Ovis aries: one gene and its partners. The protein of the gene in region 3 interacts with the protein of the main gene of each other region in a biochemical or structural test. Links are inferred from orthologs where the notes say so. Each region holds a gene or a part of one and is shown on either strand. Other genes may lie near its edges.

What was found.
Region 1: of the proteins of XIAP (region 3) and PTEN, one has a biochemical effect on the other in vitro, tested with the Homo sapiens proteins (2 studies listed by BioGRID). The link is inferred for Ovis aries from reciprocal best matches to the Homo sapiens genes XIAP and PTEN.
Region 2: the proteins of XIAP (region 3) and HTRA1 form a complex in vitro, tested with the Homo sapiens proteins (2 studies listed by BioGRID and IntAct, with this or other methods). The link is inferred for Ovis aries from reciprocal best matches to the Homo sapiens genes XIAP and HTRA1.

The regions. Positions count from the first base shown.
Region 1 is NC_056075.1:9,328,228-9,334,252, reverse strand, and holds part of PTEN (phosphatidylinositol 3,4,5-trisphosphate 3-phosphatase and dual-specificity protein phosphatase PTEN), read right to left. Parts: intron 2,116-6,025; coding exon 1,949-2,115; intron 1-1,948. UniProt on the Homo sapiens protein: Dual-specificity protein phosphatase, dephosphorylating tyrosine-, serine- and threonine-phosphorylated proteins.
Region 2 is NC_056075.1:41,838,036-41,844,060, forward strand, and holds part of HTRA1 (serine protease HTRA1), read left to right. Parts: intron 1-1,098; coding exon 1,099-1,198; intron 1,199-1,628; coding exon 1,629-1,833; intron 1,834-6,025. UniProt on the Homo sapiens protein: Serine protease with a variety of targets, including extracellular matrix proteins such as fibronectin. HTRA1-generated fibronectin fragments further induce synovial cells to up-regulate MMP1 and MMP3 production.
Region 3 is NC_056080.1:107,875,688-107,881,712, reverse strand, and holds part of XIAP (E3 ubiquitin-protein ligase XIAP), read right to left. Parts: intron 4,662-6,025; coding exon 4,461-4,661; intron 1-4,460.

The DNA of each region.
Region 1 (6,025 bases), on a different chromosome or scaffold from region 3:
ACTTTCCAATGAAGCACTGAAGGGTGTTATGAACTTCAACTTTTCGTTGTTACAAAATGCCTGCCTAAAAAAAAAATCACTTCTTACTAATAATGAGGTCTTGTAAATAAAAAAAAAAAAATCACATCAGAAATTCACTACTTCAAACCTTTCCTGATCAACGTAGAAACTGTTCTCTCTCTAGATTAGTGGAACTGGCCTGTATACATCATTTGACAATTAATGATGTACAACCCTGTGACATCTTATCTGGTACCTTAAACTGCCATTTAAATCTTTTATTCTAATTTATCTTCAAGTTTATTTTCCTGGGAAGATGGTAAGAACCTTAAGAAACTTATCTCTTAAATGTTTTTGTATCTTTTAACAGCACCTAGCACAGCAATAATGTGGTAGAAATCTGTTAAAACTGTTTTATTAATTTCAATTATTTTAGAAAAGTTACTGAGTTAGTAACTACACACATACTTAAGAGTCCGAAGAAAATAAACTAGCAAAATTTAAAACTTCAAAAACTGTGGATTGTGCTAATGCACTAATTATAGAAAAACTGCTTTGTTTAAAACAAACCAAACTCTTGCAACATGCAAGGAAAATCACATAAAATGAAAATAAATAAGGTAATTCAAGATAACAAAGTATTATAAATATTTAACTTAACCTTCAATTTTACATGTGTTAATGTAAATTGGAAGAATAAGAATTAGTGCAGTCCTAGAAGTATAGAAAAAGTGATACAGGTGTTTATTTTTAAAAGCAAAATATAAAATTTTTATGTGTGCTAGTCTTATGATGAATAAAAGAAAAAATTTACCTTAACTGCAAAACAATTATTAATACCTCTTGGATTATTGAAAAATATATTTTCAAAGTTATGGAGATATACTTAACTTTTATTTATATAGTACACATAGGAAATGGGTTTCTGGTGAAAAAAAATCAGTTTTACATCTTGTGATTTTCCAGCTACTTGGATTCTGGATAAAAAAAATATATTTCTTCTGATAAGCAAAATAGAAGTCAAAATTCTTGCAGTTAATGAAGCCTCCTCATTTTCTCTCAACAACAACAACAAAAAGCTAAAATTCAGGAAAATGAAATCAGTCTGACTATGGAGACTGTCTAAAAATTAGTGATACACTACTACCTGGTATGTTTAGGAGGCAGTAACAATACACACAGCTACTGTTTCTGCTCATTACTACCTAAATATTTTGTACCTTAGGCTCACCTTAAACGTTCACACTTAGTATTTTAAACCAAGACTGTTTGTTTTAAAATGAGCTCCTATATTCTCTAAACATAGCTCAGTGAGATGCAAACCTCACTAACTTTCTAAACGTGTATATTTAAATACCACATTTTTTCATTCTTTATTACTTCCTCTTCATATTTATTCCTCGCCTAGCTGAAAATTGAAATAAATTTACTTCCTCAGTAAATCTGAGGAAGCTAAATATAAAATGACCCAGTCTCAACAAGCATTAACCAAAATGGGGGAAACAGATTTTATTTATACAAACAGACCAAAATGTTTTTTCAAACTCGTGCCCCATGCTTACTTCTCAGTTTAATCAATCGTCTCTTCTAACAGGACTGTAGCCGATTGAATGGGGTACATATGCAATCTTCAATACTTTTATAGAGTTTATTTGCATAAGCCAAGTTAAGAAAAATTCATCTCAAATTACAAAGTCAGATGGCCTTTTCCTTCTGCTAGGGCTATGTACCACTATAACGGCTGACTGATGCCATAGTAAGCAAAGCATGTGCAGATTTAGTAGAAAACTATTCATGATTTATTAGATGTCAGACAGAAAACACATCTTTTAGTCTCTCCTTTCAGAATGATTTCTGCCCAACTAAATGCTTTAAGCAAAAGATCTGAGGTTACTATTCAAGGTATGGCTATTTTGGATATTTTTCCCAACAAAAGTAAAGAGCAAACCTTTTTTAGCATCTTGTTCTGTTTGTGGAAGAACTCTACTTTGATGTCACCACACACAGGCAGCGGCTGAGGGAACTCAAAGTACATGAACTTGTCTTCCCGTCGTGTGGGTCCTGAATTGGAGGAATATATCTTCACCTTTAGCTGGCAGACCACAAACTGAGGATCTGCATGGTCAAATACATACTAGTATCACTTCACAGGAAATGTTTTTAACTGTCAAAAGCTATTTTGATGATTAGTATTAGCAGCAGACACAAAGTAGTAATTTTGCATCTTTAATGCCCCAACTAAAACAAATCAATGGTTACAAAATAACAGAGATACATAGATAGAAATAAATCAGTGGAAATAAACTACAGCAAAATATAATCAATACCAGATTTTCCCTAATTTGTACCATCAATATGAGGTAATATTAAAAGGAACTTTTAAAACAGGTATTTGCTGCAGTATTTTAAAGTCTGTAAAACAGAATAAAAACCACAAAATACCAATCCTTACACATTCAGAAGAAAATATAACCTATAACAAAGTTATAGTACATTCCATAAACACAAGTTTCAATAATTATAAAAATATTAACCATATTTCATTTTACCTATAATTCATATTTTATTTTTAAAGGTATATAAAGCCACCACCACAAGAAACAGGAGGAAAGAGATTTGAAGCGTTTGCAAAGAAATGCAACAGACATCAAGTACAAATTATAGCACAATCTCCCTCTCTTTGAAACACATTCCATTTTCATTAACAAGTATTTTGACTTTGGTCCATGTCTGTTTTAAAATATATGGTAAAAAATAATAATAATAATAAAAATAAAATAAGCTCAAAATATATCATGTTTATATTAGCAATGCAATTAAAAGGCAGCTAAGTGTGAAAAGAAAGGCTTATGTGTTTTATTTTTTAAATCGACTCATAAATACATTTATGCTAATGACACTGATGACAGAATTTGGCTTCCAGTCACGGACACTAAGATCCTAGCAGTTAAGAAAGAAAGTAATTAAACTGAGGGGGGAAGAAATGGGTTTTTAAATTTTCAAAACATACCAAGATAATTACGAAATAAAAACATAAGCTTGCATAAAGTGAATGAGAAATATATAAATATATAGACATAAAGTTCTCATCACCAAAAGACATCATTCTTAAATATGGGGGGAAAAATGTATCACATTCTTTATCAATGTGACCGAAGCTCTGGACAAGGCAAAAAGCTTATTCAAGCTAAATAAATATTCCAGTACAATAAACACCTACTGGCTCATCTATACAATATTTAATGCAGTATCATCAATCACATAATAAATAAATAGTAAGCGATAAAAAGTATGAGTGTTTACTGCAATATGGATTTGAGAGACACTGATGAGAAAAAGGAACTCTAAAAAGAGAAATGTTACACTAACAACCTATCAATAATCTTCACTTCCTTGACTAAAGATTCAAAGTACAATGCGCTATTTTACAAGACTTAATTTGATACTGAAAATTTCACTGAGAAGTCCAGCTTGAAGAAGCGAACAAAGTATGATTTTAAAACTGTGATAAAAACCAAACAGGATGAAAATGCCTTGTAATCATATTCATTCAAACTCCACTAATTCAGAATCTGATCATCTTAATCTTAGGAGTTTAAAAAGCAAACTCACTGTGAAATCTGAATTAACAGATCTTAATTAACCTACGTCTAAAATGTGCACCTTCAAGAATTTCCGAGCTGTATAAATATTCTCATTAGAAGTTAGTGTTACTTAGACATTTCCTCAAAAAACTAGGCTCAAGTTTTAGTAAGCGAAAAACATTCCCTCACATCCCTAAAGAAGACAATTTTCTTTACAGTATGAATTTCACATTTTAGATAGGTAAGACCACACTTAACAGAAGTCCAACATCAGTATGGTTCTTTTGACTAAGACACGACTGATATATATATATGTCTTTGATAGGACAAACGGTGCTCTAATAAAACAGAAATGAAATAAAACTTAGAATTTTATATTATGAGAGAAAAATCAGTGATCATCTTTTATTAACTTTTTTAACCCTTTTAGATATATAGAAGATAGTAACTTTTTTTAAATTCAGAAATATTAAGACAATAATCAAAAAAGAAAAAGGTTGTTAACTCCTGGCAACTTTGCAGAAGATACTTTATTTCCACGTTTTGTTTTCTTCACTGATTCCTCTTCCTCCTCCTAAACCGAAACCATTATGGATCCTGTTTGTCTCAGCCCTCACACCGTTTCTGTCTGAGCCTTCCCACATTCTCAGCTCAGTTCAGTTGCTCAGTCGTGTCCGACTCTTTGCGACCCCATGAATCGCAGCACGCCAGGCCTCCCTGTCCATCACCAACTCCCGGAGTTCACTCAGACTCACATCCATCAAGTCAGTGATGCCATCCAGCCATCTCATCCTCTGTTGTCCCCTTCTCCTCCTGTCCCCCAGTCCCTCCCAGCATCAGAGTCTTTTCCAATGAGTCAACTCTTCACATGAGGTGGCCAAAGTACTGGAGTTCCAGCTTTTAGCATCAGTCCTTCCAAAGAACACCCAGGACTGATTCCATATTCTAGCCCTATATCAAATTTATATGAAAGGTTTAACTACCATGTCTCGTTCCTGATGCTTCCAACAGTATGACATATCTTTCATATAAGTTCAAATCCATACTTTCAAGTACCAATTGAATATGTTCATGTAAACAGCTCACCTTTACCTGATTTAAAACATATGTTTAAAACCAAAATATCAACATTCATGTCTCCAAGTCTCAGATTCCTTTTTCTTTCTTCCCTTTTCTGTGACTTATTCACCTGACCAGAGTAAAATATTTAGATATAAATGGCAAAAGAAAAACTAATCATTTGACTGCCCCAGCAAAGCATACCTGGCTTAAAGAAAGTCATGTAATTCAACTGTTTAATTTTCCACTGTTTTTCCTTCCCTCATGCAGTCACTACTTTCTACAAAACTGTACCTAACTACAGCTTACGCCTCTGCTACGATCACTGACAACACAGCATGTATCAAATCAAGTCCAACATGCCTGTTCGGAGTCTTCTAACAATCAGCCACACATTGTATTCCTATTCTGTTCTCCATCTCTATATTCTTGTCCAGCTCATTTCCTTCTGCTGTGCTTCAATTCAAGCTATTTCCTACTGCCTGTAATTTTCTTTAGTTTAAAGGCCAATCTAAATTGCATGCTTTCTCCAATGTTCAATAAAGAGCTGGACTTCCTTCACAAAAGTATTTGACAACTCCCCCCAACTTGATTTTTCTGAATATACTATTTGTAATTTACACGTATAACCACACATTTAGTTATATATTACAGCTTTACTAGACAGTATTGAATCATAGTATGTAAACAAAGAACTAGAAAATTGGTAAAGATTAAACAGATCTCAGTAGTAACTTGCAAAGTTTAAATATAATACTAAGAGGTCCAATATACACAGACACACACAACACACATGGTTTAAAGGGAGAGCACAACTGCAGAGAAGAACTGACAGACGTTTGCTAGAGAGACCAATATGGAAAAATAAAGTAGAGTAGATAAAATTACTGAACTAAATGTGTATTTCTGTAATATTTTGTACCTTGCCATTTGGCTCTTACACTGATATCTAACACTACAGGAAGAACATGAGTTTTTTTGCGTTTTTTTTTTTTCCCCTTTCCCTTCTCTGCTATAAATCTAAGTTCGTATGTCAATCACCTCTTGACAGCATAGTACCTTGTACTCAGCAGTTTTTAAAATTGTACTGAGATGACAAAAACATCAATGAGGTCTCTTTGAAGTCTTCCACGTGCTATGTTAAGGTCTTTGATAAATAAAATTAACTTGCCCTAAGAATACAGGAAAGATCTAATGAAGGTGATCACACCTGACAACATAAACAACATAAAGAAATTAACTCCCTAGGTATAAATTAATTCAGCATCACAAGGCTTTTAAGTTACATAAATACTGTAAGAAGAAAACTTTAGGCTAAAAAATAAAACCACCAACAAATTGCAAAGTATCAATGAAATACTGTTAGAGGTATTAGAAAAATA
Region 2 (6,025 bases), on a different chromosome or scaffold from region 3:
CAGGTTTGGGGTCAAAGTAAGAGGCTCAGACTGCCTCTGCCACTCAGGTACCCACAGAATGGGGACTCGGTACCCTGAGTCTCCAGTAGCTCATTTCTGAGTCAGGTGCTGTGGGTGCGTGCATTGGGTTGGTGGCAACTAACTTCTTGCCTTCCTCGAAACCGTATGTGGGATCTGTGATAGCTTTGTCTGAAAGTGGCTTTGTAAATGCCCACGGTATGGGGATTTCCTAATTATAGTGCATATATTTACACAGAGAATTTTGGTCATTGGATTTTTCCCTTTTTTTCCCCCCAGTAGAATCAAGGCATCTTTTGGCCTGGGATGTCTTGGGGTGGGAGGAGTGGAGTGAATGATTAAGATGGAAAACTGCTGCGGGGACAGAGGGGAAGACACTATCTGTGCCTTTGCCTTAGTGCTTTTTCATAGTAGCCTCTTCAGTCTCTAACATCTGATGGGCATCTCATCAGAAACAGCTTCAACCCTCCCCTCGACGGTGGTGGTATGCTGAGAAGGGCTGCTGTGTGGTTCTGGGGGAGTCTGGGAAGGGACACTGGTGGATGGTATGTCAAGGTGACCCTTGGGCCACCCGCTGTTGGAGGTGGGCCCAGGTATCTGCTGATGCCTCTGGGTCAACGTTTTTGTGATGAAATAGTTGAGACCAGGGAAGCCAAGCAAGCAGGTCATCTTTGGTGGGTGTTGCTGCCTCATCTGGGGCTTCCCTGGTGGCTCAGTGGTAATGAATCCACCTGCAATGCAGGAGCCGTAGGAGATACGGGTTCAATCCCTGGGTTGGCAAGATCCCCTGAAGGAGGGCATGGCAACCCACTCCAGTATTCTTGCCTGGAGAATCCCATGGACAGAGGAGACTGGTGGGGTACAGTTCATAGGATCGTCAAGAGCCAAGAGTCAGACACGACTCAAGTGACTCAGCACAGACGCACGTGCATGTGAGTGGGAATTTCCTCAAGTGCTGGAAAGATCTTTGTCTGTGAGCCCAGGTCTGGGATCTTGTCTTCACCCTCCTTTTTTAGTTCTTCTGACCCACAACACAGAGCACAGGATCTTTAAGTATCTTGCCTTTGTTTCTGTTCTTAGGTCAGGAAGATCCCAACAGTCTGCGCCATAAATACAACTTTATTGCCGATGTCGTGGAGAAGATAGCTCCTGCCGTGGTTCACATCGAACTGTTTCGCAAGTAAAGAGCACCTTCCTTTTTTTCCCCCAGTCTCTGAAGCTCCCACCAAAACTGCTGCCATAAGCAAAACATCAGAGCTATTTCTGAGACACTTTAGAGTGTCACTGAATACAGTCCTACAAGAAGATAAGCATCTCCCTTGGGATGTTTTCCTGTTTGCCTATTGAAATCTACATTCTTGACCCTTCTAAGATGTTTTAAGAGCCTCCGGTTCTGAAGAGATTCCCTAAGAATATTTTCTAAGTGGAAGTTTGGGATGTGAATAAAAGTCAGTCTAACATACTATCTTTTAAAGTTTAATAAAGCCATTGTGCAGAGTAACAATTGCTAGTGATAAGTGTCTGTTGCTGTCATAGAACTGACGCATCAGTGTGTCAGAGTGTTGACTTTAAATGTTTCAGCTTTAACCAGGTACTCTTTTTGGTTCTAGGCTTCCTTTTTCTAAGAGGGAAGTGCCGGTGGCCAGTGGGTCTGGATTCATCGTGTCCGAAGATGGACTGATTGTGACAAACGCCCACGTGGTAACCAACAAGCATCGGGTCAAAGTCGAGCTGAAGAATGGCGCCACCTATGAGGCCAAGATCAAAGATGTGGACGAGAAGGCGGACATTGCCCTTATCAAAATTGACCACCAGGTAGGTGTGTTCCCCACCTGCAGGACCAAGTTCTCAGGTGCCTTGGCTGACGCTTGGCTAAGTCCGGAGAGTTCAAAAGACACACCAGAACTCCCTGATTTTGTGAGTTTCTCAAGTGGGACGGAGCCAGTTAGGTCTGGATCAAAGGAGAGCATTTGGGAGATGCTGAGTGTGGCCTGGGGTCGGGAAAGGGTGGGATCGCACGGAAGCTTCTTGAATAAGCAGGCTATAAGGTCAGAGTTTTAATAATAGTGTTCTAAATTTTTATCAAAGCAGTAGGCTTATGAAGAAATGGGTAGGTAAGCAGTGAAAACTGAGTTTCCGTTCCATTCCTACCCCTCAGGCAACTGTTGCTACAGATTTGTGTTCTTTCGTGCACTCACCATGTATAAAGAATTTACTGGGTTTTGAAGTTAACCATCATTAGCATGGAAACAGCTACTCTGAAAACAAACCAGGTCTCCCACACTGGGCTTTTGCAAAGTTACTAGATGTGTTTTAAAACAGTATTTCACACTCAAAAAAGTTTTGGAAACCTTGAATTAAAGCTAATAGATTTTGTCCTCATAGCACTTCTCAAAGCTTTTCATATGCTGATGTGCATAGGACCCTCCTGCAAGAGTGTGACTCTGAACTACAACTATCTGAGCATAGAATTTTTTTTTTTAATTGAGATGTAAAGAGCTCAGTTTGGGAAATGGCTTGCTTTCTGTTGAAATATTCTCCTTGTAGTCATTTTTGTTCTGTTGATTTGTTTAGCAAAATCTTCATGTGTGCATGCTAAGTTGCTTCAGTTGTATCCAACTTTATGCGACCCTATGGACTGCAGCCCGCCAGGCTCCTCTGTCCATGGGATTCTCCAGGCAAGAATACTGGAGTGGGTTGCCATGCCCTCCTCCGGGGGATCTTCCTGACCCAGGGATTGAACCCGTGTCTCTTATAGCTCCTACATTTGACAGGTGGGTTCTTTGCCGTTAGTGCCCCCTGGGAAGCCCAAAATCTTGGCTGAAATCAAGTCCAGTTTTTATCAGACCATCAACAGTTCCCACTTGTTGGTATGTTGATAACAGAGGTTTGGTTTGCTAAGCGGCAAGTACCTAGTGAGATTGAATTTTCTGGTTTTTCCACACTTTGTCATTTTTCAGACTTCATCTGGAAGGAGGAATAGGGATAGATTGGAATCTTGTTTCTGGACCAGGAGAAGGTCATAAACTGAGAGGCAGAGAGAGGTCTTCTTTTCCGGCTCTCTGTGTCTTTTACCTGATCTGAGCTGTGAAGTCAGACCACGGTGAAATAGCATAGGCTGTTTTTGTTTGTGCTGTTGATCAGAGCAGAAACAGGCCCTGTGCCCAGCGTAGGTAACTGACCTCTAGAGAGGTCTCGATTGCATACTATTTCTGTTAGGTTACCATGGGATTTCTGTAACAACTCATCTTTCAAAATGTGTTTATGGGTCATAGTATAGTCATACTAACTTCTGTTTGATAAGCTCCAAAACTGGACCAGGCTCTGCCTTCATTTATAACTTTCACCTGTTCTGTCAATGGCTTTTATCATTCCCATTTTACATAGGAAGGAATAGGGATTCAGAGAGCTTAAGTCACCCGCCTGAGACCACATAGCTAATACTGTGGTGAAATTATAGCCTCCTAAGCTGGACAGAGGGCTTCCCACAGGGGGTGCGGTTTGGATCCCTGGGTCGGGAAGATCACCTTAGAGGAGGGCATGGCAACCCACTCCGGTATTCATGTCTGGAGAGTCCCATGAACCAAGGAGCCTGGCCGTCTGTGGTCCATAGGGTCGCAAAGAGTCGACCATGGCTGAAGCGACTGGGTACACACAGGCAAGCCTGCCAGGCTCCCCAAGTGCCACGGAGGGATGAAGCCTGACCTTTTGGTGTGATGAGATGGCTCAGCTTTAAATAACCCACGGGGAGGCTGGCACACCCCGGTGTAGGATCATACAGCTCGCAAGGTGTCCAGGATGTGGTAGTCTCACCGGAAGGAGGCTGGCCAGAATAGCACATCCTGTGGCCACACGCAGGACTCAGCTCCCCCAGCCCTGGGGAGGCTGCCAGCCATGCGGGCTCTCTCTGCAGGCAGGGCGCTGGTCTGGACCCTGCATGAGCTGCTCCTGCTGAGTAATTTCATGTTTGGCATTCGTGGGAGCATCCCATGCAGCTGCTGTGGCCGGGGGATATTCTTTTCAGCTTCTGAGCCGAGGTGGAGAGCGGGTTCTCCTGTCATCCCTGGCAGGTCCCAGCAGGATGTGGATTATCTCGATGGACCAGCTTTGCAGGGTGTTTCTGACCTGGCTCTTGCTGTTCCCGGGAGGCTAGCCTTCCTGCCAGCAGCAGGCTATTTGAGATGAGTTTCTAGCCCCAGAAAAAGGAGCTTGAAAATTTAAAGTCGAACTAATGTGGCTTTGCAAAATGGAATCGGAAATGAAAGGATATTAAATTGCAGACACCCACACAAGAGACTGGTTTCCAATGACTAAACTGTTTTTTTTTTTTTTTTGCTGATAGTAGTTGGAAGTGGGGAAAGTGAAAACATCTCTTCCAGCTCTTTCCATTTTGTTCCCTTAGTCGGAGGATTGATTATTTAGGAGAGGGGGCAGGGACTGGTTTGTAATGAGGCTCAGTTTGGGAGGAGCCCCTTGATTCAGTGACGACTACGGTGCCCCAGTGCAGGATTTTATAAATGTGTCTGCAGTGCTGGGGATGGGGGTTGGGGGGGCAGTGAGCTTACCTTGCACTGTGTCACCTCAGGAGCAAGAAACAGAGCAGGGAATCTCAGAGGAGGCAGAACAGATCCAGCAAAACTTGAACTTGAGGATCGAACTCATTCCAAATGGCGCCTGCCATCTGAGGTCATGGCTCACTCTCCCCAGGGCTATTTGCTCATAACCCAGTGAAACTGGGGTGACTGCCCCCCACATACGCCGGCCCAGTGGCTAACTTGGTGTCTTATAATGTGGGCCCATTTCCTCCTCCAGTGCCAGGATTTCACGTGAAAGGCTCTCCATCAATAACACTGAGACCCTCCTTCCTGAGTGTGCTATTCCTGCCACTTTTAATGAATGGAAATTACTATGGACACCTGTGGTCACTGCCCACGTCTTCTGGGCGCAGAGGCCAGCATCTCCTTCTGGATCTATTTCTGCCCCCCACCAGACAGTCTTGTGGGGGCACCAGTCATGGCACACCCCCCGCAACCCCCCTGGGGCCAAGGGACACAAGATCCATCAGACCAAGCAGATCCTTCACTTGGAGCAGGAACTGGATGCCAACCACAGGAAAATGACGGGGAAGCTGGTATGGCCCCTGCCGCCGGGGACCCCAGGGCTGTCTGAGCTCCTGCCTTTTCAGAGCCTGATCAGCCAGCCTACTTTCCCTTTCATTCTTCAAGGCCCCCTCACATCTTCTGTAAACCCGCCTGGGCTTGAGCTTGCCAGAGACATTTCTGGGCTTGTGACCAAAGAGCATTTTTGCTCCTCACTGCTGAGCGGGCTCGTGTGCACTCACTTCCCCTGCTGAGTCTGAGCAGGGGAGAACCTTTGGGGGGAACCTCCCTGAACAGGGCAGCTGCCCCCGCCAAGCTGGAGAAGGAGGGTGTCCCCTCCAAAGGCAGCCTGCCTGCCCAGACATGTCTTTCCACTGCCCTTTCCTCGGGGCCACGGACGGGGGCCAGCATTCGCCCGGGGCTGGGGAGGTGGTGCCAGCTGCAGGAAGGAAGGACAGTGTGCCTGCAAACAGTTTAATAGAAAGCAGCTTTGAGGGCAAACTAGTTCAGCCTCAGATAAAAACGGATTCCAAAATGTGTTGAACATGACGCTGGCCGTGTGTGCAGAACACTTAAAAATGTTTTTCTCCAGAGGCCGTGTTTTGTCCATGCAGCGTTTTTTTGCTGAGTAGTTCAGGAAAAGAGAGAGAGAGAAAAAAATATATTTGGTTTCTTTAGGTCAGAGTGAAGGACAAAAATAAGTACTGGGGATATACTGAAGAAGGTAAGAAAGTAACTTTTGTTGCAGCTGTTTTTCCAGCTGTGTTGGTTAGGAAAGAGGAAGTGGAAAAGCATCTGTGCCCACCCCCCAACCTCCCCCACCCCCACCACCCTGTCCCAGGACTGCAACTTTCAGATCAGGTCCTATCTGCCTGTACAAAGCCCTTCACACTCTGTGCTTATGGAGA
Region 3 (6,025 bases):
CATAGGAAGGCTGTGTATCCATGTATACACAGAGGGAAGGCCTTCCAGAAAATATTATACCTAAATTGGGTCCTAAAGGATAAGTACGAGTAAACTAAAAGAGGGAGAAAGCCTTAGACCTTGAAGGACAAGAGCAGTGGGAGAAGAGTGCTCTGGGCAGAGGAAATGATATAGGCAAGGCTCCAAGGTGAGAAACAGAATGAGGCCTGCAAGTGCACAGGTAAGGTTTGGGAAGAGAATGTGAAGGGGAAATAGCATGAGGCTATAGAAGGTTAGCAGGAGCCTGATCATGAAGGATCTGGTAACCCATGTGAAGGAGTATGGACTTAACACCAAGGGCTCCAGAGCCAGTGAAAGGTTTTAACCTGGAAAAAGATACCAGAATTGCTTCAGTAAGGTTTTCCTCGCTAGCCATGGAGAAAAGGATTATTTGCTTCTTTTTTTTCTTAAAAGGCAACCTCCTGGGCATAATTCAAAACTCAAATATGGAACACAGAGATAAGAAAGATAAACTGTCTGTCCTCAAGAAGCCTAACAGATAGAAGGGGACAGAAAAAGTTCCAAAACAACGTTACAAATGCTTTAACAGAGAGAGCAGAGAAAGCTGCAAAGTGTGCTATAGGTCTTTGGGGAAACTTCAAAGAGTGACCTTTGAGCTGAGCCTTGAAGGACAAGTTCAAGAAATGGGTTTAGGGAATCAAATCGGGGGTGCAGTGGGGAATGAGATGAGCTATACAAACAGGAAAAAGGCATTCGGGGCACAGCAAACAACAAAAGTAAAGGGATGGCATTATAAACTGATTTATATTATATGGATGCACCTGACCAAAAAAGAATAGTGTATATTCCTGCCATCACCAAGACTGTGGCAACCAGCAAAAGCCAGCCTGCCAGCGGAATATGGAAAAGCAGAGTGACTTGGTTAAGAGAAAACACTGAGATGACAAGCTTTCTGCTGTGGTCCACAAGCAGAACGACTCGGAGATCATGCAGTAGAAGCTGAAAAAGGCAAATGAAAAGAAGGAACACAAGTAACTTTGTGGCTTTTTGTCCAATCTTCTTGCGCTTCGCCTGTGTGCCTGGAGCCTGTCCCGCTACACTTCCTCCCGTCATGCTTACAGCTCCCAGTACCCAGGCATTCCTTTTGCCTGGAGTCCACAGCAGGTCTCTTTCGGGGTTCCCTCCTCTCAGGTAGTTTCTCTTCCCCAGGCCAGTCCTGGGGGTGAGGGAACTACCCCTTCGAAGTGTTTTTTAAAAGTACCTTTGTAATCCCCTAAAAAATCATGAAGAGGAAAACAATTAATTTACACATTACTTTTGCATGTGATGCTACAATGAATAAAAAAGGACACTGGATCAGATGCCTACAGTCGTCAAATTTACAGAGACAGAAAGCAGAATGGTGGCTGCCAGGGGAATGGGAAAATGGAAGCTGTTCAATAGATAAAGAGTTTCAGTTTTGTAGATGAAAAGAGCTCTGGAGACTGACCGCACAACAATGTGAATGTACTTAAAACTACTGAACTGTACACTTAAAAATAGCTCAGAGGGTAAATTTTATGTGTATTTACTTTTTTTTTTTTTTGGCCACACCATGTGACTTGTGGGATCTTACCTCTGGGACCAGGGACTGAACCTGGGTCCTTGGTACTAAAAGTGTCAAGTCCTAACTATAGGACCACCAGGGAATTCCCCACAATTAAAAAAATAAACAAACACTGGACCAGAAGTCAGGAAACTGGAATTTTACTCCCAACTATCTGTGTGATCTTGAGTAACAGTTCATCAGCACCTCAGTTTTCTCTGAAGTAATGAAAATTATTATAGGATCTTTAAAGTTCCTTTGGTTCTGATTGCTTACAGTTCCATATTACAGTGCATACACTTACTTGAGATGGTGATGCTCTGGGCATTTTTTTCCAGACTGAGTTTTTTTTTGGCCACACCACATGACTTGTGGGATCTTACCTCCGGGACCAGGGATTGAACCTGGGTCCTTGGTACTAAAAGTGTGAATTACTTCACTCTAGCCTAAAGAATAACCACTGGGTTCTACATCCTTTCCTGAGCCACCTTTCCCCTTCTACTTGCCACAAAGCCCTCTTCTAGGTTGGGAGGTACCTGGCATATAGCAATAAAGGCAATAGCTACATCATTTTTCATGGTATCTGCTAATATTTTTACTGCATTATTATAAACCACTTCTAGAAGATACTTCTAGAATAAACTGATGTTATTCATGTTCCAATCAGAGCAGATCTATGTGGAAAGACAGACTGATAAGAAATGTGCACGGGTTATTTGATTTTTACATTACATTCTATCATATATATATAAGGATTAAAATAAGTATCTTACCACAGACATGAAGTAAAGGGCTTTATATCATACAATGTCATTTTTAAAAAGAAAGGGAAAAAGATACTAATTTGGTACTATCTTTAGAAGACTGGGGTATTCTCTGTTACAGAGACAATGGTCTAAAAGCTAGTATTGAATCTAGGATTTCTTAGTGAGTAACAATAATATTATATTTTTTTCTAATAAATTTTATCTGCTTTTACTTCAATTAGGCCCACCCTCTATTTTGTACAGAATTAAGATTCTTAGTGCCAGTGTTTCCTCATCAGCTTTTGGGAGGAGAAATAGACAGCAGCCCCCTCGTGAAAAGCTTGCCTGTATCAATTACCTGCCTCTCAATTTTGTGAGACTAAGGAGACATCAACTGATGAATTCTAACATTTGCCCTTGAGAACTGGCATTAACTTAGGCCCTTTTTCCCACACAACCCCAGCTTGTAATCTTGGTAATGATGAGAACCTCCCACAAACTCCTGTTGAATAGAGACACCCCCCAATGCACTCTGTCCTTTGTTCTCTTCCTACTGCAACCCACTAAATCCTTCTGCTGTAAACACCTTCAGGTATAAAAACTAACACCTTACTGTCAAACTTAATTAAGTTTGAGTTGTGGTGAAGATGCAGGGGAAAATGACATAGTCACTTGTATCACAAAGTAAATGATTTGTTTCACCATCACCAAGACAAGAGGAGCTATTATAGGTTTTAAATAAATGTGTCTTTATGGAAAAGAGTAGTCTGCTTTCTGCTGAATCTTCTACACCAACTAGAGTATAAAACTCATCAATGTTATACTGCTTTAAGACTTATTTGATTATCTGAATAATGTTTCAAAAGCATCTGAAATAACTTAAAGATCAAAAGGGTCTTGAATGTAAAAAACAAAATAAGTGAACTTTTAAGTTCATTAGTACTTGGAGAATTCTCATCTTTTGGTAGAGGTGGTCAAAAGCTTGGAGAATGATCATATACTTCTCTTCTACATTATTCAATACACTTTGTATATGAATCACAGTATTAAAATGCATTTAATTCAAGCCCTATTTAGCAATATGACCCTTTTACATATTTATATCATGTGGAAAGTTGCAAAATACTCTAAATCCAAGCAGTTTCAACTAAAAAACTTAGAGAGTCTACACACAACGATAAAAGTTAGCCTTTGTTGTTCTTTACCTAAAATAGAGTATAAACTTACACTTTTAAAAATTAATAGATATTAATTAATAGTAGATCTTACTTGGATCCTGATCAGAACAAATCAACTGTAAAAACATATTAAGATGATGAGGAAAATGAAAATCAACTGAATTTCAGATGATATTATGGAATTACTGTTAATTCTGTTAAGTGTGACAATAGTATATTATGGGCTAAATATCTTTCTCTCCAAAACTCACGTTGAAGCCCTCACACCCTATGTGATGGTGCTTAGAGGTGGGGCCTTTGAAAGGTGATTTGGTTTACATGGGGTCATGATGATGGGACTCCATGATGGGATCAATGTTCTTATAAGAAGAAGAATAGAAAGCAGAATACTATCTCTCTTGGCCAAGTGAGGACATAGAGAAGGCAGCCATCTGCCAGCCTAGAAGAGAGACTTCACCAGGAACCAATCAAATCTGCCTGAACCTTGGACTTCCCAGCCTCCAGAAGTATGAAAAACAAATGTCTGCTGTCTAAGCCACCCAGTCTACGGTACTGTTATAACAGTCTGAGCAGATTAACACACAGTATTAAGGTCATGTTAAAAAAAAAAGTCCCTAGATAGTTATTGAAGTATTTATAGGCAAGTGGTATATAGGATGTCTGGGATTTACTCTGAAAAACTACAGCAAAAAACAAAGTTGGAGGAAGAAAGGAAGTGAGATTGAAAAAGTGTTGACAATTATTGAAGCTGGCTGATGGATATCTGAGGGTTCATTATACTGTTCTCTCCATTTTTGAGTATGTTTGACATCTTTCATAATAAAAAGTTTTAAAAAACATTTATCCTAAGGGAAATATGAGAGAAAAATGCATGGGCCACATAGTCATATAAGATACCATCCATAATGAAATACTAGGTGTATCTTGCTTTTAAAACACAGGCATGCATACCTTTCTGTAATGAAGTCTGACTTGATTCACCTTGTGTATTGTCTTTCTGAGCATTCACTAGATCTGCAACCAGAACCTCAAGTGATTTGTAGTTGCTCCCAGATGTCTGAATTTTCCCCTCCATTGTTTTCTTAATGTCCTTGAAACTGAATCCCATTCGTATAGCTTCTTGCACCATAGGATTTTGGACTATTTTATCATCTGAAATGAAAATTGGTGAGGAAAAAAATCACAGACTTTAATTATTTTCATTAACACAACTCAATAGCAGAGTATCATTAAAAAGAAAAATTTAAGCAACAAGCAAAAAATCAAAACCAAATCAGCAAACCAAAGCTGCTTTGGGAAGAGGATTTAGAAATATTTAGGCACTGAAGAATCACTTTCAGAATCTTAAAATAGTTGAAAGTACAATGAGTATGTATTTGTTGTATTAGGAATTGAGATTAGGTGCTTTAAAGACTATGATAAACAGTACAAGATAAGGTAAAACAGGTACGAAAAGGGTTAAGTGCTTCAAAAATTCTGAAACTGTGGACGTCTTTACCAAATCGCCACAATTATTTTGAAAAAATCATGGGAAATAGAAGAAGTTCCAATCTGTGACCTTCAATGTATCAGTTTCCTATCTCTCAGACTTAGTTTCTGCAGTTGAGTGGGGTGGACTAGATAAAGCAAGAAACCTAATACAAAATCACATTAATGACACTCAAGGTAGGACTACAGATTGTGGTGATTGTGGTGGTGGTGGTGGTGGTGGTGTTTAGTCGCTAAGTCGTGTCCACTCTTTGTGACTCCATGGACTGCAGCCTGCCAGGCTCCTCTGTCTATGGGATTTCCCAGGCAAGAATACTGGAGTGGGTTGCCATGCCCTTCTCCAGGGGACCTTCCTGACCCAGGGATCCAACCTACATCTCCTGCATTGGCAGGTGGATTCTTTACCAATTGAGCCATCTGGGAAGAGCTTACTAGAGCTCTCGGCCTTCCAATTTCTAGGTGTAAATCAAAGGAACTACTTCTAGTTCCAGGAGGAGACAGTCTCTCTGCTTTGACTTCATGCCTTTGTTCACTCTCCTCCCTGGGCAAAGCTCTTATTCTTTTGTTAGCCTGACGAATACTAATCTTACCAGATTGTGTAGTGATGTGCTAAAAGAGACTTCTATCCTCTGACTCATCACTTCCACTCTTGGGTATTTTTTTTTCCTTTTTTCTTTTCCAAGCTGTGCAGCTTGAGGGATCTTAGTTTCCTGACCAGGGATTGAACATGCTCCCCTCCCTCCTCCATCCCCCAGCAGTGAAAGTGCCAAGTCCTAACCACTAGGCCTCCAGGAATTCCCCACTCTTCAGTATTAAAGATGAGTACATATACCCACCAAAGACATACACAAGAATATTCATAGCAGTGTTATTTATAACAGCCCCAAACTGGAAACAACTCAAGTGTCCATTATCAGGTGAATGGATAAGTAAATTGTGGTATATTCAAGTACTAAACAGCAAGGAAGAAGAATGAACTACTTCCCCAGACAACATGGATCAATCACATAGACATGATAAGTAAAACA